2 linked regions of the Lonchura striata genome follow. The protein of the gene in region 2 purifies or fractionates together with the protein of the main gene of each other region. This does not show direct contact. Links are inferred from orthologs where the notes say so. Each region holds a gene or a part of one and is shown on either strand. Other genes may lie near its edges. The genes, in order: PSME4 and PSMB3.

Region 1 (12,415 bases), on a different chromosome or scaffold from region 2:
CCATGACCTATCTAATTTGTAATTTATAGAGCAGGACCTTCTCTGACTGGGATAATTATGAAAATTTTAAGTCTGAAAATCTGACAGATGCAGAGGGATTGACAGCACAGAGAAAGCAAAGAAAACAAGTTTTCATTTTTAAAATCAGCAGAACATGTCTAAAATTCTCAGCTGGAGAAAGAAAATTATTTCACCCTATCATGGCATCACTTTGATAAATACCTGTATTTCCTATAGAAAATATTTCACTTTTCTTGGAGAGCAGACTCATTTATACCTGGATTCCAGATCCTGGGAATGATTACATGACAAATACTGACAGACAGTACTGTTTGTATCTTTTCCCCCACAACTTTACTGTTTTATAGAAGTGAACAGCATACATTTAACTTAGTACCTGTGCTGGTTTTGGCTGGAGTAAGTTAACTTCCTTCACGTTATTACCCATCTTTAGCTCAACCCACAGATTTTCTCACTTTTACCCTTCCAGTTCTCTCCCCAGTCCCACCAGGAAAGGCAGCATGCAAGGCTTCATTGTTAGCTGGGGTTAAACCACAACAATACTGTTAAATATTTCATACTAAATTTATTAAACTGTGGGTTATCATCCTAAAATCAGTTGAGCAAGACCTCTGTTGCAGTGTATTTAAAAATTAATCACATTCATATAGAAAGAAAAAGCATGACAAACACAAAGCAGAAGGAGATACATGATTCAGTGGAGCTCTGCATGCAATTATTGAAAGGTGCCTTGTGAAAAAAGAAACAGAATATTTCCTATGTATCAAATTCCCGATATTAAAAGCACATTACAAAGTACTGTAAAGCAGGTACTAATGGTCTATCAAATGTTTTCAAATGTGAACTTACTTGGGAAACCAATTTAATCCCAGATGTTCTGTTTTGGAGTATAATATCCTTTCCAGCATTTCATAGAGTGGTCGCCATGGTAACTCTAAATCATCCCTGGAAAGCAGTTCCTTTTTCCTAATAGGAAACAAAACACTAGGCAGTTTGGAATTAAAAACACTGACATGGACACGCAGCACATGGGAATACCCCCATCCCCGCTCCCAGTTTGGCACAAACTGCAGGAAGGCCAGGCAGTACCAGGCTGGCCACTGGCAGCCTTCAGCACAAGTGACACTGTCAAGATTTTCCCTGACTAAGTGAAATGAACATTATCAAGTCGTGAGCCAGTTTTCATCTTCTCTCTAGCTGAGATTCAGCCTTAATTCTTGGCTCTCTGAACTGTTTGGTTTTCCTGATATGGGGAAACCTGGCATTCTTCCACTTTCAGTCCCACTCCTAAAGCTTTGAAGGTGTTTGCACAAGAGAACCCTTTAACCACCAGCAGAGGTCAGATAAGTGAAGTAACCTGTAAGAACTCTGTTACATGAAAGGTACAACATTGAGCAAGAGATCAACTGTTCTGACACAGAAGTTTCCACAGTCAGCAGAAATCTCTACTCACTTTAACAAGTTGATCAGCAGGCGTGCAAATCCTTGCATCATGCTGATCTCCAGCTTTGGAATTGTCACCAACTCGTACAATAGTTTGATAAACAGCACGTGATCCTCCTTGCTGAATTTTCTCCCATACAGTCGGATGTATCTGCAAACCAAACACAAGGGGAGTCAGCAATATTTTAAAACATCCAATTTATCCAAGACCTGAGCCAGAATCCCTCTGATTTGCTGTTTAGTGAAACAAAACTAAACCTGGTTCTCAAGCCCAACAACTAAGAACCCGAAGGTACACACCAAAGGAAGATTTACAACTGCAATTATAGGAAGAAAAAGAATGACCAAATAAAGTTTACAGACCTCTAAGATTCTACAAATACTGTAACCTCATGGACAGGACACAATCCAGAAGCTAAAAAAACAACCCAAAAAGTATCAAGACAAACCCAAATCCAACAGCTTCCAGCAAGGATGAACAATTGATTTAGACACTGAGCTTTGCCAGTGGTGTGTCTCACTGTCTTCACCAAGGGTAGATCCATCAGACTCATTCCAGAAGAAGTGTTTGCTGGTTTTAAGTTGAGATTGAAAAAAAGAAACATATTTCAAGTCTTGAAAGATATTCTGCACCAGAAAAACCTATATAAGGTCCTTTCAGAGCATTTTAGGTGTGGCACAGCTGTAAATTACAATTCACTGGGAGGCAACTTCCCTTTTTATTACTGCTCTGACTGTTCTTAAATATGCATAAGAAAGCTGCTTTCCACTTCCCTTTTCCTGTCAAATTCAAGGGGGGGATGTTTACTTTTGATGGGCAGTGTTTTCACAAATGTTCATTCCAACATCTTGTACTTACTTTTAACACAGAAGGAAACAAACAAAATACAGAATAACCCGCTTTTCCACCACAGGAACCTAAATAATCTGGATTGGCCAGAGACACTACCTACCTACAGAATTACACCACCAAGAGCTGAACACCAGCACTTTTCACATGCCTAAAAAAAACATGAAAAAGAATCCTCAGGGAAAGAAAAATGGGTGAAACACATATGATTTAAAAAAAAAAAAAAATAAACTGCAGAAGCCTGTAAAATAAGTTTTAACTACAAAGAAACACAGAGATCAAATTTATCTGCCAGTATTGCTATATATAACTGAAAATAAAATGTTTGGCAGGTCTCCGTGACATTTGCTAACAACAGCTCTGCTACACAAAATGCTGTTTAATTAAGAAAGGAGTAAAGTACACAGAAACATGCGGAACACAAAGATGTCACTATACCCAAGCATCAGGACTTGATGCCAAATTGCTCCCATATTTTACAGCTTCTTTATGTAGGAGGGAGGCAGATCTGAAAGGGGTCAATTATTTGTATGAATCCAGATGAGCATTAAGGCAGTGTCAAAAAATAAATCCTCCTAGAATGGGGTGCTCAGCCTTTTGCTCAAGATTAAACAAGAAAAATTTTTCAGAGGGGAACTGCAAAATTTTCAGAATATCCCTTCAGAAGGGATGAAATATCACCATTATAAAAATAAAAGAATATAGGCAGAACTTAATAAGCCCTGAAGGGTGTTCAGGGGCTAATCAGACAGATAATGTTCATCATAGAAATGGTGTCTTTTCAGGATAATTGGGTTACTGGGGAAAAAAATAATTGCAGAACTAAATTATTACAAAATAAAAGATGAAACTTCTGAAAGCAGATAATACTACATTGAGATGATATGAGTTCTTAACCTGCAAAAAGGATAAAACTATTGTCCTTCACTGTTCAGCTATAAGGAAAAAAAGTCAAAAATCCAACAATTAAAACACACCCACATAATATGAAAAACATTATTAAGGCATGAAAATTCTGTTTCAAACTCCAGCCTTTCTGTACAGAGTACAGGGTTTCTGGAGATTAAAAAAAAAACAACAAAAAAAACCCAACACCATAAAGCAAATTCCTTAGTCTCAGAGTGCTGGGAATCCAATCTCTCCCTCCAAAAGCACAATAGGCCTATTTTTAGGAAGTGTACTATCATATCATGTGGCCACCCTAAACTGCCCTAGAAAGTTGGCTGCTCTGCTACAGTTAAAAATTACCTCTCCTTCAGAAGCTGAACAGCCCATTCCCCTAAATTCCTGGCCCTCCATCTGCATTTCCTAGCACACAAAACAGGATCATGACTGGTTTAAAGCTCAGTTTTTGACAAATGATGTGAAAAGCAATGAATCATACTCAGCAGGACTGCTTAAATCACATGTACATGTACACAGCACACACATCCCTCACACAGCCAAAGAAAGCTTCTGTTTCCCTGATAAAGATGAGAGAAAGATGTCAAACAAGACTTCTAGGCTATGGCGATTAAAATACTTGGCAAGGTCCCATGGAGACATTCATCCTCACTAACTTTGTGTTCTGTCATTCCCCTTCCAAACAGTTAAGCTGCGTTTTTTCCACACCTTACAGCAAGACAGTTGAATGTCACTTTATAAGTCTACACCTGACAAGCACATAAAATAACACCATCAGGGACACAATTGAGTCCTTCATCTTCCCACACCCCTGACCGCTGGAGGAGAAAACATAGAAAGGTATTTGTGTGTTTGCCTGGCTGCAGAGTAACCATGAAATGTCCATATTATATTAATATGTTCACTTATTGACTATGTTTAGTGTTTTTTTTTTAATTTTTAGAACAATCAGTGAATCATGAAAGAGGGGGAAGTTGAGACAACGTATACTGCTGACATAAAGACCATAAAAAATTATGGAGCAAGACCAGTTAAGCAAATTATTTTGATGTAACCTGCTTTCCCCACACACACTGTGGCAAGCTGAAATTCACTCTTCTGCTTTCACAACTGGCTAGCATTTTACAAGCTTTTACCAGACAAAGCTGGAGGAATCTTGGAGCAATTATTAGAGATTTAACTGCCAGTCTTTGGGGCAAGTTTTACTTGCTTCAGAAGCCTCATCAAATCATAAGTTACTTTCCTAAAAGGAGAGGAAGTTCTCTCACCACAGTCCACACACACATCCCAAAAGAACCAGGTGTCACCACTGAAAATGACCCATAAAAGAATTATTCAAATCAGCTTACAGACATTATGTCTGATAAACTCCTATTCTGCCTCTTTTCTGTTCTCCCTCCCTACTCAGTTAGTGACATCAGACAGCTGAAACAGCTGGTCTGAAGATAAATATGTCCAAGTCATGGTTCCAGCTGTGGGGGGTATAAAAACTACATGATTCAGCTGTCACCATGAAAGACTACTCAATTTTTTATTTCAATAAAAGATCTGAGTTTCACTTTCATTCTCTCCTGAGGCACAGAGTTGTAAAAAGCTGAGGAGGTTAAACTATGCAGGTATATAATCTGCATGCCATGTTTGCTTTGCTCATTTGCATATAAACATACCTGCGTTAACATTTTTATCTGTACAATAAATAAATACGTAAATTGTTACACAGAATACTGCAAGAATTCTGGCCTTTGCAATTCAGACATTAGCAACAAATGTAAGCAGTCATTATGAAGATTCTGAGCATTTTCTCTTAATTAATTATAGTTTTTTTTCAGGAGAGAAAAAAGAGAGCAAGTCACTTTGGAGATGAGTCCCTGACTATCGAGAGACAGTAAAAATTGGATTCTATTGTCATGAACACCACAAGGCTGGAAGTGTTTTAGCTATTCCTGAACTTCTGCTACTGTATTTCACAGAATGACAGAATGGTTTAGGTGGGAAGGGACCTTAAAGCCCATCCAGTGCCACACCCTACAATGGGTAAGGGACAACTTCCACTATCCCAGGGTGCTCCAAGCCCCATCTGGCCTGGTCTTGTACACTTCAAGGGATCCAGGGGCAGCCACAATTTCTCTGCACAGCTTGTGCCTCCTCACCCTCACAGGGAAGAATTCCTTGCCAATATCCCATCTAACCCTGCCCTCCGGCTGTTTGAAGCCATTCCCCCTTGCCCTGGCACTCCACGCCTGTACAAATAGTACCTCTCCATGTTTTTGTTTGCTCCCTTCAGGTACTGGAAGGCCACAATTAGATTGTCCCAGGCCTTCCCTTTTCCAGGCTGAACAATCTGGATTCTCTCAGCCTTTTATCCCTATAAGTACTTTGTCAAGTCAAACAGAGCAGCAGCACATCTCTCACATTAACTACACCAGCTTATTTTTTTTACACCAAGCCCACTGTTTCCTCCCCTGCCCACACCAAACACACTCAGAGCCTCCCTTTATCTAAAATGCCACAAAGAAAAATCTTGGTACTAACAGGCATCAGACAAGCTGCAAACACTCACAATGAATTCAAACTTCAATCAAACTTCAAAGTGTAGGTGGAAAACCACAAATTGGAGCCTGCTGACCTTTCTGTGATTCATAAAGCAGCACAGCAGTAGGCCAAATTCACTGCCCTGGAGCCTGAAGTGGTAACAGCAATTGCCATTTACAGAGTGAGTAACAGGGTGATTCTAAGGCACATTTAGAATGAATTTCTGTGTCTATTCAGCCTGTTTAGCTAAAGCTCATTTTTCTCACAGCAGGGACTCCTAAGTTTATTTCAACTCGATGGGAAAGGGAAGTTCCACCACAGGTATAGACAACAGGTACCATCAAAACCAGTATGAGTAGGCAGATGGCTAGGGGGTGGGAAGGGAAGCTGTGTTGAACTGGCTCCAAGCAGGTTCAAACTGTCACATAACACAAACATGTGAGTCATTTTGCAACCACCACTGTAATTCTATCTAAGACTGCCTCTTGGGAAACAGAAAGACGCTTACATTCCAATATAGTTGAATTTAGCAGGCTTTAACTAACAAATGTCTATTAAATTCTCAAATGATATTATAAAAAAATACTTATGTAAGGAGAGAAGTTTTAAGTAAGTGTTTCAAAACGGTTCAAGCACATGTACTTTGTTGTTTCTGGCACACAGGAAACGCTGTTTGTGAAAGCACACACAGCATTCAGCAACAAATGTGATAAACATCCACAGAATTTACTGATTGCAGCTACAGGACTCGCTGTCATGTGATGCCATACACAGTGCCAGAGTGTCCCGAATAAAATAGGGTCAAGTGTACTTCGTAAAATTCACGAGAAGAAACCTATGTCGTACTCGGTGCTATCTATGAAAGCACCGTGGGTTCATCAGTATAAGAACAACCTTGCCAGCACACACAGCACGGCCAACATCAGCACAAACCACCCCACGCCAGAGTTCAGCCAAGATATCAAGGGCACCAGCGGTGTTTACCCAGCATTAAGCCACAGTTTAATCCTGCCAGCACTGACCCAACAAACGGCCTGTCTTGAGAAAGACGCCGTGTCCCTATAGCAGAAGTTACACGGCGATTTTATCAACTACAACTTGCTTAAGAAGGGGAGAGGTGAAACAGGTGGCCATACAGGCATTAAAAAATACACACGTATTAAAAACAAAAGCACGAGCTAAACGCACAAGCGCTTAAGTCGTAGAATTCGGAAGTTTCAGAGGCGGCAGGCGAGCTCTTGCGGCCGGAGCCACCTTTGTCCCCGTTTCCGAGGTGGCAGTGCTGGCCCTGTGTCAGGCAGGGACGGGGCAGCGGCCGGAGCGGGGCCCGGCCGGGTGCCGGCGGTTCCGTTATGCGGGAGGCGCTCCCGGCGAGCCGGGCACGGCTCGGCCGGGCTCGGCAAGGCAAGGGACGGGACTGACGCGCCGCTCGCAGCCCGAGGCCCCGCTCCCCGTCCCGCCCCGGCACTCACGTCGAGAGCTTCCTGGTCCAGAAGAGCCCGCCGGGCCAGAGCTCCTGCAGCTGCACGGCGCGGGCCAGGTTGCCCTTGATGTGCTCCAGGAAGCGGGCGGCCTCTGCCTCCAGGCGCTCGCCATAGGGCAGCAGCTTGTTGTAGACGATCTCCTTCTGCGGCGGCCGGGCCATGTCGGCGCTGGCCGAGGAGGGCCGGTGACCGCGGCCGCCGCGCCCCGCCCGCCCCGCTCGGCTCTGCGCCGCTCACTTCCGGCGGAAGGCGGGCCCGGGGCGGCTCCGGGCGCTCGGCGGGCGCGGGGCCGGGCCGGGGGCGCGGGGCCGGGGCTGGGCCGGGGCGGTGCTTTGCGCACCGCCGCGGGGAGGGGCGGAAAGGTCACGGTGCCCGCCCGAGTTCAGGGGCCGCGCTCTGCGCCTTTGCGGTTTGCTGAAAAGCTCTTCTCCTAAAGCTGCCGCCACCTGGACGCGTAATTCGGAGTGAAAACATTCACCCGCCGGCTGCTCTCATCGGGAGGGAGTCAAGCATTGGTTCTCGCTCAAAAACACTCGGGGTGAGGTGGGGATGGGGCGGGCGCTGGAGGTAACGGGGCAGTGCCCATCCCTGGAGAGGTGCAGGGACAGACCGGACACTCAGTGCCGGGGTCTGTCCGGCCATAGGCTGGACTCGACTGTCATCTCCGAGGTCTTTGCCAGCCTAATTGATTCGGTAGTGCTGTAATTAGCCCCGGAGTTTAATAGCAGATTGCGCGGCTGCCTAAGAGGCTTATTTGAAATAACGCTAGTCAGGAGCGAAGAGCTCGCCCGCGGGCCGTGGGTGTGGGATAAACTGCTGAGGGATATGTGATAACAGCACTGATAGCTGTTATCTCCAGCTGTCCTAATATAATTGAATTTCCCCTCAAGAGTTACATCGTGGCCATACAACAGCTGCAAACTGATTAGATTTAGAGCTACTGACGAGGGCAAATCCTGTTTTCTATCTTTATGCTCAAACTAGCTCTGGTTAAAATGAAAAAAAAAAAAAAAAAGAGATGCTAACTAAATTCTGGAACATGACAGGGAGAGGAGAAACGCCACAGGAAACCTAAGTATGACAGGCAAGGGCATCATGGCATCTTCCTGACTAATGCATTTACATCATTTACTTTCCTCATCCTAGACTAGTATTTTTAATAAAGGGAGCGCCAGGATTTTGTTTAGTGTCCCATTCTTCTGAAATTCCTAGAAGATTTTGTATCACATGATCTCGTGGATCACATGCACAACTTTTACGTTATTTCGAAATAGCTGAACTTCACTAAATTTGTTGCCATCTTTCAAAGGGACTTTACGCTTGTGTTGCCTTATAACTGCATGAGGCAAAACAATTCATAGATGAATCTCTGCCCTTTCTGGCTTGAATTAAAAATGAAAACTTGATCATGGTCAGCCTTCTATGGGGATAAAGTATATCTTGATTTAGTATTTTTCTGGTGAAAACAGAAATAAACCATATGAAATTAATAGTTTTATCAGCAATTCAGTCAAGGATAAATTGGCCCAAGAGCTGTAATTAAAAAACAATATCTATAGTTAATGAAAAGGGTAAGTGAAAATATGTGTGCATTGAAATTGAAAAGTCTAAAATTACTTTCTGTCACTTAGAGGCAATTCTTGATACTCACAATGGTGTTTTGTTCAGACATTTCCAATGTGGGAAAGTGTTTGTCAAATTTGAAGCATGCAGTTTGTTTGGATTTGGAGGGAGAAAAATTCAAAATTCTAGCCCAGTTTTATAAAATTGGAAGTTGGCAGATACATCAGGAGCATCCCAGCTGCATTCTGTTGCTTTGTAGCCATGTTGTAAAAATTACTCCTGCCCTTTCTAACCCAAGTTAAAACTAAGTCTTGATTTTTCAGGCATTTTGGAATATTTGGCATGTGAATTAACGCCTCTGACCTCAGGGAGCCTGTTCTGTCCAAGCCAACAAGCTGCCTTCTCAGCTGTGGCCTCAGACACATGAATGCCTTCCACCAGGATTAAACACTCCTTTTTGGGGAAAAACATGCCAAGTTATGCCATCAGCACCTCTGACAGTCATCCTACTAACTAATCTGATCTCTTCGTTCCTGTTTTCAGAGTCTGAAACAAGGGGAGAGGAGATTCTTCTCCATTAGTAATAACAGTAGTAAGCATACTTGTAGTACTTGCTTTTTGAATGTATTTTCTGCATGTTGATTCATTTACTAATTAAATGTAGTAATTATTAAAAAAACCTAATCCTTTCCCCTCCCTGCTATGCCACCATTCTGCTCTTTAAAAAGAGAAAAAAAAAGAGATACATTTTGCCAAGTGAGTCAAAAATAAATGTGTTGTTCAAGTTTGCAATATGTTTTGGCTGCAGCAGTGTGTGAAAGCACATTTGGTTCCCGAATCAGCTGATGAAGGACGGGGCTTTCATAACACAGGACCCGTCTGTGCCACTTCACATCAACAGCTTCTTCCTCTTTTATTAAGTAGGAGGAATATGAATTACCAGCAACCCAAATATGGCAGCCACCTGTTGGTTTTGGCATTGCCTCCTGAGAGCTGATAAATCCAAGTGGAGTAGTTGTGAGAAAAACAAAATCATCCCATTCATGAGAAACTTCCAGTGCTGACAGTGGCATGGGTCACGCTGGCGGTTGTCCACATGTTCCCTTGTTGGGTGATGCTTGAGGGCAGCCAGCACCAGCACTGGCACAGGGATTTGGGAATCTTGTCACTCAGCCTTGCTTCCTGCTGCCTCACCTCTCCAGGGACTACTTAGCACAGATGTTTTCCTTAGTGACCCATCTGTCCTTTTCCACCCAAGTTGGATACTTTTCCAGTGACAGATTTCTACCCATTTTTCAGTGCCCAAGGCCCTTCCAATACCTGAAGGGAACCTACAAGAAAAATGGAGAGGGACATTTCACAAGGATCTGGAGTGACAGGACAAGGGGAGATGGCTTCAAACTGAAAGAGAATAGGTTTAGATGAGATATACACAAGAAATTCTTCTCTGTGAGGATGGGGAGGCCCTAGCATAGGGAAGCTGTGGCTTCTCCATCCCTGGAAGTATCCAAGGCCAGGCTGGACAGGGTTGGAGCAACCTGGGATGGTGGAAGGTGTCCCTAGCCATGGCAGGGGGTGGAACTGGGTGGGCTTTAAGCTCCTTTCCAACCTAAACGACTCTTATGATTTTACTGTTTGGAAAAGAATAGCCAATCCAACAGGAGCTTCATATTACCTGTATCATACCTGTCCCAGTCAATGATGCCCCCATATCTCACAAAGTGCCACTATAGGAATAAAGAATAGCTGCTTTTTGATGAGGATACTTCCCCTCAGCCCCATATTTCTAAACTGGTCAGTCATACTAAGCTGGTGCTGAAAGGTACCAAAGAAGCAACTCAGAAACATCTCTGTCACATAAAACTTCTATTTTACAGAGAATTTGTCTATTTGGGAGATGAGGGCAAGAGTGATTACAGCATCTGAATGAGGAACTTAGAGTTTCCTGTGTAGTATGGGACAAAAATAGGTTCTTCTAAAGTGTGATTCAGAGGAACTAATTTAGGTCCCTAAAATAAGGCTATATAAATACTCCATTACATGTTTCAAGTTGGATGGGGAGGCGGGTTTGGTGTCACCTACAACACATACATTGAATATTCTTTTTCTGCAATGCCTGTTTGGATCTGTGTGTTCTAATGTGAGTGGAATATTTCTGTTGTGCAGAAATAAGAGGCCCTCGTGAAGAGGTTAAAGTAGGCACCTGTATAATTTTTAAAACTCTATTATGTAGACAAGCCTGACCAAATAGGTGCAGCATTGTTATCCTTCACTTTATATTGCCAGTGGTTCTGTTTATGAGAATTAAATCCATGCTCAATTATATCCATTCACAAGATATTTTTTGGGCTCTTTTCCAGCTGAACTTAGGGGTTACTGTGCTTACAGTGGACAATCTACGTACAAGAACAGAACCTCAATTCTCCTTGGTGAAATAAATTAATTTATAGCAAAAGTGTTTTTCCTCTCCACTCCCTGGATTTGTTATCTTTTGGTGCCTTATTGCCTAAGATTTGGAAAGCATGAACGTCCCAAATCCACAGCAGAGATTCTGCTTGTGACAGGCTGTTTCCTCTACATGTCTGAAACTCCCAAAGATATCCCTGGAAACGATTGTGCCTGCAGGGAGAAAAAGCAATAGACTTGAGCCTCTTTGTAAGAGGTTCTTTCCAAATTACTCACAGCTATTTGAAATAAATAATAATTTCTTGGACATTACAGAAATGCAGCCAACTTTGGGGAAAGAGACATTAGGGTTACTTTTCTGTTCCTCTTGAGCCATTGAAGTGGATTTTTCTGTCTCACTCTCCTGCCAAACAGAAACCAGCCTCAGAGGAGCATGTGATGACAGTGAACTCACAAAGGTTATTCCTAGGGATTCTGCTGTTCTCGGAAATCAAGGAAACACAGTCCCTTGGCAACCTGCAGCCACTCTCATAGAAACTGCTCATTATGGACTTGGGTATCTCATGCAGCTGCCCTGTGTTTGCCAGAGAGGATTGTGACACACCTTACCCCAAGTGCCTGGGTGGATGATCATATTTATTGGTTTTAAACAATAATACAAATGCAAGTGCATTTGTTGCAGCTTCATCTGCAGTTCTCTGGTTTGTCTATTCCTTGTCAAGATGAAAAATTAAAAAAAAATAAAGGTCTGATTTCCCAATGCAGGATAAATCAAAAAGCAACCAAAAATATTTGCTCGGGTTTTCAGTCTTGTTTTAAGTAGCATTCAGCACAAATAATTATGTTTGTCATGGCCATAGCTTAAGTAGTTGTTCAGGCTTTAGTTCTGTGGGTGGATTGTGTGTTTACTGCTTGGACATGTGGATCAGAAGTATTTAAATATTTATGAATTCTGGAAGAGAAAAAAATCTCACTTAAATATTCCCTTAAGCAACCAATCCTTTCTCTCCTGCTAAAGAATTATCTATCCTTTGCTTCTGGCTGAGTGGTTTTGTGCATGGAATCTGCATGGGAGACTTTTTGGCACGTTTCTGAAGCAGCAGCTTCTCCCATGGGGTATGTTAAGGAGACACCCAGCAGATTAACAAACCTTTGGGAGAATCACATGGCACAAACTTGGAGCTCTCTGGTGTTCATTTGGTCTAACCTGCCA
Region 2 (12,415 bases):
AAACAGGAAAGGGAAAGGGAAAGGGGAAAGGAAAAGGGGAAAATGAAAAGGGAAAAGGGAAAAAAGGAAACAGGAAAAGGGAAAGGGGAAAAAAAGGAAACAGGAAAAGGGAAAGGGAAATGAGGGATGGGAAAGGGAAAAAGGGAAAGGGAAAAAGAAAAGAGGAAAGGGAAAGGAAAAGGAGGAAAAGAAAAGGAAAGGAAAACGGGAAATGGAAAAGGAAAAGGGAAAAGGGAAAAGGGAAAAGGGAATGGAAAGGAAAGGAAAGGAAAGGAAAGGAAAGGAAAGGAAAGGAAAGGAAAGGAAAGGAAAGGAAAGGAAAGGAAAGGAAAGGAAAGGAAAGGAAAGGAAAGGAAAGGAAAGGAAAGGAAAGGAAAGGAAAGGAAAGGAAAAAGATCCTTGGATTTGGGAGATCCTTGGAAGGAAGGGAAGCAGGGCAGTGCCAGCCCTGGATTTGGGGATCCCTGGGGGAAGGGAAAAGGAAAAGGGAAATAGGAAAGGGAAATGGAAAAAGGGAAAAGAAAAGAGGGAAGGGAAAGGGGAAAGAAAAGGAAAGAGGAAAAGGGAAGGGAAGGGAAGGGAAGGGAAGGGAAGGGAAGGGAAGGGAAGGGAAGGGAAGGGAAGGGAAGGGAAGGGAAGGGAAGGGAAGGGAAGGGAAGGGAAGGGAAGGGAAGGGAAGGGAAGGGAAGGGGAGGGAAGGGAAGGAAGGGGGGGGAGGACGGGGCTCTCACATCAGGTGCACCACCACGCCCATGCCCGAGATGGCGTCCCTGTCCACGGCGTTGAGCATGGCCTGCGAGATGGTCTCAAAGAGCTGCTCGGGTTCCTGGGGAGGAACGGGTTCAGCTGGGCTGCAGAGACCCCAAAACTCACCCCAACCCACCCAAAAGTGACCCCAACCCTCCCAAAACTCACCCCAACCCACCCAAAACTGACCCAACCCACCCAAAAGTGACCCCAATCCTCCCAAAACTGACCCAACCCACCCAAAACTGACCCAAACCCACCCAAAAGTGACCCCAACGCACCCAAAAGTGACCCCAACCCACCCAAAACTCACCCAAACCCACCCAAAACTGACCCAACCCCCCAAAAGTGACCCCAACCCCCCAAAAGTGACCCCAACCCACCCAAAACTGACCCCAACCCCCCAAAACTGACCCCAACCCCCCCAAACCCTGCAGGCTCCCCCTGCCAGGTGCAGCAAGGTGTCCCCAGGTGTCCCCAGGCCACCCCAGGTGTCCCCAAGGTCCCTGGGTGTCCCCCACAAGCCACGAGTGTCCCCAGGCTATCCCAGACTATCCCCTGACATGTCCCCAGCTGTCCCCAGGTGTCCCCAGCTGTCCCCAGGCCATCCCAGGTGTCCCCAGGTGTCTCTGGGTGTCCCCAGGCTATTCCAGATGACCCCACCCTGTCCCAGGTGTGTCCCCTCATGTGTCCCCAGCCTGTCCCAGCTGTCCCCCCACATGTCCCCAGGCTATCCCATCTGTCCCCAGGTGTCTCCAGGTGTCCCCAGGCTATCCCAGATGACCCCAGGTGACCCTGGCTGTCCCCCAGGCTGTCCCCTCATCTACCTCAATGTGTCCCCAGGTGTCCCCATGTGTCCCCACATGTCCCCACATGTCCCCAGTGTCACTGACCATGTCGGGCTCCCAGAGGGACTCGCACATGCCGTACATCTGCTCGGAGCAGGTGTCCCAGGTGTGTCCCCACGTGTCCCCAGGTGTCCCAGGTGTGTCCCCAGGTGTCCCCAGGTGTCCCCCCATGTCCCCCCAGATGTCCCCGGGGTCACTGACCATGTTGGGCTCCCAGAGGGACTCGCACATGCCGTACATCTGCTCGGAGCAGGTGTCCCAGGTGTGTCCCCACGTGTCCCCAGGTGTCCCAGGTGTGTCCCCAGCCTGTCCCAGCTGTCCCAGGCTGTCCCCCCATGTGTCCCCACATGTCCCCATGTCCCCCCAGGTGTCCCCAGGGTCACTGACCATGTCGGGCTCCCAGAGGGACTCGCACATGCCGTACATCTGCTCGGAGCAGCTGTCCCAGGTGTGTCCCCAGGTGTCCCCATGTTCCCCCAGGTGTCCCCAGGTGTCCCCAGGTGTCCCCATGTTCCCCCAGGTGTCCCCAGGTGTCCCCAGGTGTCCCCATGTGTCCCCACATGTCCCCACATGTCCCCAGTGTCACTGACCATGTCGGGCTCCCAGAGGGACTCGCACATGCCGTACATCTGCTCGGAGCAGGTGTCCCAGGTGTGTCCCCACGTGTCCCCAGGTGTCCCAGGTGTGTCCCCAGGTGTCCCCAGGTGTCCCCCCATGTCCCCCCAGATGTCCCCGGGGTCACTGACCATGTTGGGCTCCCAGAGGGACTCGCACATGCCGTACATCTGCTCGGAGCAGGTGTCCCAGGTGTGTCCCCACGTGTCCCCAGGTGTCCCAGGTGTGTCCCCAGCCTGTCCCAGCTGTCCCAGGCTGTCCCCCCATGTGTCCCCACATGTCCCCATGTCCCCCCAGGTGTCCCCAGGGTCACTGACCATGTCGGGCTCCCAGAGGGACTCGCACATGCCGTACATCTGCTCGGAGCAGCTGTCCCAGGTGTGTCCCCAGGTGTCCCCATGTTCCCCCAGGTGTCCCCAGGTGTCCCCAGGTGTCCCCATGTTCCCCCAGGTGTCCCCAGGTGTCCCCAGGTGTCCCCAGGTGTCCCCATGTCCCCCCAGGTGTCCCCAGTGTCACTGACCATGTCGGGCTCCCAGAGGGACTTGCACATGCCGTACATCTGCTCGGAGCAGGTGTCTCCAGGCTGTCCCAGCCTGTCCCAGCTGTCCCCCCATGTGTCCCCACATGTCCCCAGGTGTCCCCAGGTGTCCCCATGTCCCCCCAGGTGTCCCCGGTGTCACTGACCATGTCGGGCTCCCAGAGGGACTCGCACATGCCGTACATCTGCTCGGAGCAGGTGCCGCTGAGCACGAAGTCCTGGGTGACCATGGGGCAGCCGATGAGGTCCAGCGAGCAGATGAAGGGCTCCAGGCTCAGCGGGTCCAGCCCCGCGATCACCGGCTCCGCGTAGTACGGCCCGAACCTGGCACGGCCGGGGGCATCCCGGGGGTCAGGGGGCATCCGGGGGTCAGGGGGCATCCGGGGGTCAGGGGGCATCCGGGGGTCAGGGGGCATCCCGGGGGCATCCCGGGGGCATCCGGGGGTCAGGGGGCATCCCCGGGACCACCCTGTCCTCCTCGGGTCACAGGGATGGTCCCTGTCCTCCTCGGGTCACAGGGACCATCCCTGGGGTCACGGGGACCATCCCTGGGGTCACAGGGACCTCCCTGTCCTCCTCGGGTCACAGGGACCGTCCCTGTCCTCCTGGGGTCATCCCTGGGGTCAGGGGGACCATCCCTGTCCTTCTGGGGTCATCCCTGGGGTCACCGGGACCATCCCTGGGGTCACAGGGACCACCCTGTCCCTCTGGGGTCATCCCTAGGGTCACGGGAACCATCCCTGGGGTCACGGGGACCTCCCTGTCCTCCTCGGGTCACAGGGATGGTTCCTGTCCTCCTGGGGTCATCCCTGGGGTCACGGGGACCATCCCTGGGGTCAGGGGTCATCCCTGAGGTCACAGGGACCACCCCTGGGGTCACAGGGACCACCCCTGGGGTCACGGGGACCATCCCTGGGGTCACGGGGACCATCCCTGTCCTTCCGGGGTCATCCCTGGGGTCATCCCTGGGGTCAGGGGTCATCCCTGGGGTCAGGGAGATCTCCCTGTCCTCCTCGGGTCACAGGGATCACTTGTGTCCTTACGGGGTCATCCCTGGGGTCAGGGGTCATCCCTGGGGTCATCCCTGGGGTCAGGGGTCATCCCTGGGGTCAGGGGTCATCCCTGGGGTCATCCCTGGGGTCACGGGGACCTCCCAGTCCTCCTGGGGTCACGGGGATCCCATCCCTGACACTTTTCCTCAGGTTTTTTCCCAGTTTTTTGCATTTTCCTGCAGTTTTTTCCCTTTTTTTCCCAGTTTTTTGCATTTTTTTTTTACCATTTTCCCCAATTTTTTCCCCAGTTTTTTCCATTTTTCCGATTTTTTTTTTTTTTGCCATTTTCCCCAGTTTTTTCCCCACTTTTTTCCAGATCTTTTTTACCATTTCCCCCCGTTTTTTTCCCCCAGCTTTTTTCCATTTCTTCGATTTTTTTTTTGCCATTTCCCCGTTTTTTTCCCCGTTTTTTCCCCCGTTTTTTACGTTTTCCAGCAGCTTTTCCCGTTTTTTCCCGATTTTTGCATTTTTTGGCATTTTTTGGGCAGTTTTCGCCCCGCTCTCAGCCTCACCTCCTCTCGTAGAGCAGGTTGGACACCATGCTCATGAAGGTCTGGGGCTTGATCTGCCTCCCCTCCTTCAGCTCGTAGAGGTTCAGCCGGAACTTCAGCCGCTGCGCCCTGGGGAGCCAAATTCGGGGGGAAAAGGGAATTTTGGGAGTTAATGTCGGGATTTAGCAGGGGAAGGGGAATTTTAGGGGTTAAAAGTTGAATTTTAGGGGTTGAAAGTTGAATTTTAGGGGTTAAAATTGAATTTTAGGGGTTGAAAGTTGAATTTTAGGGGTAAAAAGTTGAATTTTAGGGGTTGAAAGTTGAATTTTAGGGGTTAAAAGTCGGGTTTTAGGAGTTAAAGTTGGATTTTTAGGAGGGAAAAGTGAATTTTAGGGGTTAAAATTGAATTTTAGGGCTTGACAGTCGGGTTTTAGGAGTTAAAGTTGGGTTTTAGCAGGGATTTCCCAGCCCTGCAGCCCCGCCCGGTTCCCGTTCCCGTTCCCGGTTCCCGTTCCCATTCCCGGTGCTCACACGCTCTGCACGTCCATGGCCAGCCCTGGTTCCCCGGTCCCCGTTCCCGTTCCCCGTTCCCATTCCCGTTTCCAGTTCCCGTTCCCGTTCCCGTTCCCATTCCCGGTCCCCGTTCCCGTTCCCCATTCCCCATTCCCCGTTCCCCATTCCCGGTTCCCGTTCCCATTCCCGTTCCCCGTTCCCGTTCCCGGTTCCTGGTTCCCGTTCCCGTTCCCATTCCCCGTTCCCATTCCCGTTCCCGTTCCCATTCCCCGTTCCCATTCCCATTCCCGTTCCCGGTGCTCACACGCTCTGCACGTCGGTGGCCAGCCCCGGTTCCCGTTCCCATTCCCTGTTCCCGTTCCCGGTTCCCGTTCCCGGTTCCCAGTTCCCGTTCCCGGTTCCCGTTCCCCGTTCCCAGTTCCCGTTCCCGTTCCCTGTTCCCGGTTCCCGTTCCCGTTCCCGTTCCCCGTTCCCGTTCCCATTCCCGGTTCCCGTTCCCCGTTCCCAGTTCCCGTTCCCGTTCCCTGTTCCCGGTTCCCGTTCCCGTTCCCCGTTCCCGTTCCCATTCCCATTCCCGTTCCCATTCCCTGTTCCCGTTCCCGTTCCCGGTGCTCACACGCTCTGCACGTCGGTGGCCAGCCCCGGTTCCCGTTCCCATTCCCTGTTCCCGTTCCCATTCCCCGTTCCTGTTCCCCGTTCCCGGTTCCCATTCCCCGTTCCCGTTCCCCGTTCCCGTTCCCATTCCCGTTCCCGTTCCCGTTCCCGTTCCCGTTCCCAGTGCTCACACGCTCTGCACGTCCGTGGCCAGCCCCGGTTCCCCGTTCCCGTTCCCCATTCCCGGTTCCCCGTTCCCGTTCCCCATTCCCGGTTCCCCGTTCCCAGTTCCCATTCCCCGTTCCCATTCCCCATTCCCGTTCCCCGTTCCCGTTCCCCATTCCCCGTTCCCGTTCCCATTCCCGTTCCGGTTCCCGGTGCTCACACGCTCTGCACATCCGTGGCCAGCCCCGGTTCCCGATCCCCCTGCCCGGTTCCCGTTCCCCGTTCCCGTTCCCATTCCTGTTCCCGTTCCCGTTCCCGTTCCCGTTCCCGGTGCTCACACGCTCTGCACGTCGGTGGCCAGCCCCGGTTCCCGTTCCCCGTTCCCATTCCCAGTTCCCGTTCCCGTTCCCGGTTCCCGTTCCCGGTGCTCACACGCTCTGCACGTCGGTGGCCAGCCCCGGTTCCCGTTCCCATTCCCATTCCCGTTCCCGTTCCCGTTCCCGTTCCCGTTCCCATTCCCGTTCCCGTTCCCGGTTCCCGTTCCCGGTGCTCACACGCTCTGCACGTCGGTGGCCAGCCCCGGTTCCCGTTCCCATTCCCATTCCCCGTTCCCGTTCCCGTTCCCGTTCCCGGTGCTCACACGCTCTGCACGTCCGTGGCCAGCCCCGGTTCCCCGTTCCCGGTTCCCGTTCCCATTCCCGGTTCCCCGTTCCCATTCCCGGTTCCCATTCCCGGTTCCCGGTTCCCGTTCCCGTTCCCCGTTCCCGTTCCCATTCCCGTTCCCGTTCCCCGTTCCCGTTCCCATTCCCATTCCCATTCCCGTTCCCGGTTCCCGTTCCCGGTGCTCACACGCTCTGCACGTCGGTGGCCAGCCCCGCCAGGCCGAGCAGCAGCCGCGGGCCCATGGGGAAGATCCGGCGGCAGTCGGTGCTCACGGTCTGCGCCTGGATCCCGAAGCGCCGGTCGGCGGCGACGGCGACGCAGCCCCGGCCCCGCATGGCCAGCACGGCGCCGCCGTTGTACGCCAGGATGGACTGCGGGGAGCCGGTACCGGGTCAGAACCGGGTCAGAACCGGGACAGAACCGGGACAGAACCGGCACCGGGACCACCGGCACTGGGACAGAACCGGCACCGGGACCACCGGGTCAGAAACGGGACAGCCCCGGGACAGCACCGGGTCAGAACCGGCGGCACCGGGTCAGCACCGGGATCACCGGGTCAGCCTCGGCACCACCGGGTCAGCACCGGGTCAGCACCGGGATCACCGGGTCAGCCTCAGCACCACCGGGTCAGCACCGGCGGCACCGGGTCAACACCGGGACAGCACCGGGACAGCCCCAGCCCCATCGGGACTGCACCGGGTCAGCACCGGCGGCACCGGGTCAGCACCGGGACCACCGGGGCAACCCCGGCACCACCGGGAACCATCACCGGGACAGCCCCGGCACCGGGATTGATTTCCCGGGCCAGCCCCGGGACCGGGATTCATCCCCGGGGCATCCCCAGTACCGGGATTCACGTCCTGGGCCAGCCCCGGTACCGGGATTCATCCCCGGGACATCCCCGGTTCATGTCCCGGGACACTCCCGGTACCGGAGGCGCCGCCGCGGGTCTCACCATGGCTGCGGCTGCTCGGTGACGCCTCAGTCCCCGCTGGGTGCCGGTTCTGCCCCGGTTCTGTCCCGGTTTTGTCCCGGTTGTGCCCCGGTTCTGTCCCGGTCCCGTCCCCGCTGTGTCACCGCTCCCGGTCCCGCTCCGGCCCCGCCACGCCGCCGCCGCTCCCGCCCCCCGCCGCTTCCCATTGGTCAATCCCACTGCCACTCCCGCCTCTGGCGCTTCCCATTGGTCAATCCCACTGCCACTCCCGCCCCCGCCGCTTTTCATTGGTCAATTCTACGCCACTCCCGCCCTCACCGCTTCCTATTGGCTGCCGCCATCTCGCTCACGGCGATGCTTCCCATTGGTCGCTGTGACCGCCGCTCTCACTTTGGCGCTTCCCATTGGTCGCCGCCGCCGCCCGGGGCGCGCGCAGGTGATTGGCTGAGGCGGGGGAGGGTGGGCGGGACGGGCGCTGGTGATTGGCTGAGGCGGGGGAGGGTGGGCGGGGCGGAAATGGCGATCACAGCGAGCGCGCGAGGCACGACGGGAGCGACGAGGGGGCGGGGCCGCGGCTGGGAAATGGGAAAGGCCGGAAAGTGGAACGGCTGAAAATGGGAATGGGCGGGAAAATGGAACAGCCGGAAAGTGGAACGGCGGGAGCTGGGAACGGGTGGGGAAATGGGAACGGCTGGGAATGGGGAAACAGCTGGAAATGGAAACAGCTGGAATTGGGGAAACAGCTGGAAATGGGGAAACAGCTGGAAATGGAAACAGCTGGAATTGGGGAAACAGCTGGAAATGGGGAAACAGCTGGAATTGGGAACGGCTGGAATTGGGGAAACAGCTGGAAATGGAAATGGGTAGAATTAGGGAAACAGCTGGAAATGGGAACAGCTGGAATTGGGGAAACAGCTGGAAATGGGAACGGCTGGGAATTGGGGAAACAGCTGGAAATGGAAATGGGTGGGAAAATGGGAATGGGTGGGATTTGGAACGGGTGGAAACTGGAATGGCTGGGATTGGGAACAGCCGGAATTGGGAATGGGTGGGAAAATGAGAACAGCTGGAATTGGGAACAGCTGGAATTGGGGAAACAGCTGGAAATTGGAACGGTGGGGATTGGGAATGGGTTGGGAAAATGGGAGAACAGCTGTAATTGGGAACAGCTGGAAATGGGAATGGCTGGAAAATGGGAACAGCTGGATCTGTCTGGATCTGTTAGCTCTGCTGCTAAATCCCAATTTAAATCCCAATTTTAAATCCCAATTTTAAATCCCAATTTTAAATCCCAATTTTAAATCCCAATTTTTAAATTCCCATTTTTAAATCCCATTTTTTAAGCTGCATTTTTGAGGGGTTTTCCATTTGAAACCCCGGGATTGATCCCCGGGTTGAAACGGGAATTCCGGCATTTCGGGAATTCCGGCATTTCGGGAATTCCGGCATTTCGGGAATTCCAGCATTTTGGGAATTCTGGCATTTGAGGGGGGACGCTCGCCCTGGGAGATCCTTCAGCTTCACTTTGGGGAGAAATTCGGGATTGGGGTGGAAAAACGGGAATCGGGATGGAAACAAGAATTTGGGATTGGGACGGAAAGAGGAATTGGGATGGAAACCAGAATTGGAATTGGGATGGAAACAGGGATTCGGGATTGGGATGTAATCAGGAACTGGGATGGAATCAGGGATTGGGATGGAAAACCAGGAATTGGGATGGAAAACCAGGAATCGGGATGGAATCAGGAATCGGGATGGAAACAGGAATTTGATATTGGGATGGAAACAGGAATTCGGATGGAAACAGGAATTCGGATGGAAACAGGAATTCGGGATTGGGATGGAATCAGGGATTGGGATGGAATCAGGGATTGGGATGGAAAAACAGGAATTGGGATGGAAAAACAGGAATTGGGATGGAAAAACAGGAATTGGGATGGAAACAGGAATTTGGGATTGGGATGGAATCAGAATTTGGGATGGAATCGGGAATCAGGATGGAAACAGTAATTTGGGATTTGGATGGAATCAGGGATGGGGATGGAAACAGGGATTGGGATGGAATCAGGAACTGAGATGGACAAAGTGGGATTGGGATGGAATCAGGAATTCGGGATGGAATCAGGAATTCGGGATTGGGATGGAATCCGGGAACGGGATAGAATCAGGAATCGGGATTGGGATGGAATCAGGGATCGGGATGGAATCAGGAATTCGGGATTGGGATGGAATCCGGGATCGGGATGGAATCAGGAATTCGGGATTGGGATGGAATCCGGGATCGGGATGGAATCAGGAATCCGGGATCGGGATGGAATCAGGGATCGGGATGGAATCCGGGATCGGGATGGAATCCGGGATATCCAATCCCCTCCCGGCAGAGCCCCGGGGACGGCCCGGGGCACACCGGGAGCGGCTTCTCCGCCCGGCCGGGAGCACCGGGAGCGGCTCCGGTGTCCCGGAATGTTCTCCGTGCCCGGTTCCGCCCGTGGCGGCGCCGGGAAAAGCGCCGGGAAAAGCGCCGGGAAAAGCGGGAAAAGGAGCGGCCGTCCCTGGGTGGGCTCGAACCACCAACCTTTCGGTTAACAGCCGAACGCGCTGACCGATTGCGCCACAGAGACCGCGCTGCCCGCCCGCCGCGCCGCCAACGCTCGGCGCCGGAATACCGGGATACCGGGAATGGCGGGAACGCCGGGAATACCGGCATGGCGGGAATACCGGGATGGCGGGAATGCCGGGATGGCGGGAATACCGGGAATACCGGGATGGCGGGAACACCGGGATGGCGGGAATGCCGGGCACACCGGAATGCCGGGAATACCGGGAATACCGGGAGCGGGACAGCGGGAATGCCGGGAATACCGGGAACACCGGGAATACCGGGATGGCGGGACAGCGGGAATACCGGGAACACCGGGAATACCGGGAGCGGGACAGCGGGAATGCCGGGAATACCGGGAACACCGGGAATACCGGGATGGCGGGACAGCGGGAACACCGGGAATACCGGGAGCGGGACAGCGGGAATGCCGGGAATACCGGGAACACCGGGAATACCGGGAGCGGGACAGCGGGAATGCCGGGAATACCGGGAATACCGGGAGCGGGACAGCGGGAATGCCGGGAATACCGGGAACACCGGGAATACCGGGAGCGGGACAGCGGGAATGCCGGGAATACTGGGAATACCGGGAGCGGGACAGCGGGAATGCCGGGAATACCGGGAACACCGGGAATACCGGGAGCGGGACAGCGGGAATGCCGGGAATACCGGGAATATAGGGAGCGGGACAGCGGGAATACTGGGAATGCCGGGAATACCGGAATGCCGGGAATACCGGGAATACAGGGAGCGGGACAAGGGGAATACCGGGAATTCCGGAATACCGGGAGCGGGAACACTGGGAATGTCAGGAATACCGGGAATACCGGCAACGGGAATACCGGGAATGCCTCAAATGGGACAGCAGGAATGCCAGGAACGGGAATACGGGGAATCCCGGGAATCCCGGGAATGCCAGGAATGCCGTGAACGGGACAGCGGGAATACTGGAATACCGGGAATGCTGGGAATACCGGGAATACAGGGAGCGGGAATACCGGGAATACAGGGAGTGGGACAGGGGGAATACCGGGAATACAGGGAGCGGGAATACCGGGAATGGGACACTGGGAATACCGGGAATGGGAACGGGACTGGGAATGGGAACAGGACAGCGGGAATACAGGGAATAACGGGAACGGGAATACAGGGAACGGGAATGGGACACCAGGAATACCGGGAATGGGAGCAGGAACTGGGACAGTGGGAATGGGAATGGGAATACTGGGAATGGGAGCAGGAATGGGAATGGGACAGCGGGAATCCAGGAAATACTGGGAATGGGAATGGTACACCGGGAATACTGGGAATACTGGGAATACTGGGAATACTGGGAACGGGAACGGGACAGTGGGAATGGAAATACCAGGAACTGGAATACCGGGAGCAGGAACAGGAATACAGGCAGTGGGAACAGGAATGGGAATGGGAATGGGACATTGGGAATACCGGGAATACCGGGAATGGGAACGGGAGCAGGAATACTGGGAACGGGAAGGGAATGGGACAGCCAAAATGGGAATGGGACAGCGGGAATGGGAGTGGGAATGGGAACATGGGAATACCGGGAACAGGGCACTGGGAATACCGGGAACAGGAACGGGACAGTGGGAATACTGGGAATACTGGGAACAGGGCACTGGGAATACCGGGAACGGGAATGGGACAGTGGGAATACTGGGAATACTGGGAACAGGGCACTGGGAATACCGGGAACGGGAACGGGACAGTGGGAATACTGGGAATACTGGGAACAGGGCACTGGGAATACCGGGAACGGGAACGGGAATGGGACAGTGGGAATACTGGGAATACTGGGAACAGGACACTGGGAATACCGGGAATGGGAATGGGACAGTGGGAATACTGGAATACTGGGAACAGGACACTGGGAATACCGGGAATGGGAATGGGACACCAGAATGGGAGACCGGGAACGGGAATGGGACAGCGGGAATACCGGAACAGCAGGAACGGGACACCGGGAATGGGAGACCGGGAATGGGAACATGGTACCAGGAATGGAACTGGGACACCGGGAAGCGGATACAGGGACAGGATACCGGGAACGGGACACCGGGAACGGGACCAGCAGACCGGGAATGGGAACGGGACAGGGACACCGGGAATGGGACAACCAGCCCCGGCATCCCGGGAACCGAGACAGCGGCACGGACAGCGGCTCACCGGGAATCCCCGGGAGCCGCCGGTAATCCCGGGAATGCGGGAGCCGCGCTCCCTCAGCCCCTCCCGCTCCTCCTCCTCTCCCCCTCCTTAATTTCCTTCCCGGCTTTTCCATTTTATTTTATTTGATTTTATTTTATTTTATTTTATTTTATTTTATTTTATTATTTTTATTTTATTTTATTTTATTTTATTATTTTTATTTTATTTTATTATTTTTATTTTATTTTATTATTTTTATTTTATTTTATTTTACTTTATTTTATTTTATTATTTATTTCATTTCATTTCATTTCATTTCATTTCATTTCATTTCATTTCATTTCATTTCATTTCATTTTTTCCTTCCCTCCCGCTCCAATTTCCCATTTTCCCGCTGGAAATTCCCTCTATTTTTAAAATTATTTTTTTTTCTTCCTTTTCCCCTCCTTTTCCCGGTCCCGGGTCAAAATTTGGGGCCAAACCCTGG

Evidence for each region.
Region 1: the proteins of PSMB3 (region 2) and PSME4 purify together in Homo sapiens (affinity purification with mass spectrometry; 3 studies listed by BioGRID and IntAct, counting the BioPlex papers as one, with this or other methods). This does not show direct contact. The link is inferred for Lonchura striata from reciprocal best matches to the Homo sapiens genes PSMB3 and PSME4.

The regions. Positions count from the first base shown.
Region 1 is NC_134605.1:27,566,925-27,579,339, reverse strand, and holds the start of PSME4 (proteasome activator complex subunit 4), read right to left. Parts: upstream 7,459-12,415; 5' UTR 7,395-7,458; coding exon 7,222-7,394; intron 1,616-7,221; coding exon 1,475-1,615; intron 988-1,474; coding exon 871-987; intron 1-870. UniProt on the Homo sapiens protein: Associated component of the proteasome that specifically recognizes acetylated histones and promotes ATP- and ubiquitin-independent degradation of core histones during spermatogenesis and DNA damage response.
Region 2 is NC_134627.1:7,420,105-7,432,519, forward strand, and holds the start of PSMB3 (proteasome subunit beta type-3), read right to left. Parts: upstream 7,342-12,415; 5' UTR 7,185-7,341; coding exon 7,182-7,184; intron 6,598-7,181; coding exon 6,413-6,597; intron 4,421-6,412; coding exon 4,313-4,420; intron 3,073-4,312; coding exon 2,895-3,072; intron 827-2,894; coding exon 732-826; intron 1-731. UniProt on the Homo sapiens protein: Non-catalytic component of the 20S core proteasome complex involved in the proteolytic degradation of most intracellular proteins. This complex plays numerous essential roles within the cell by associating with different regulatory particles.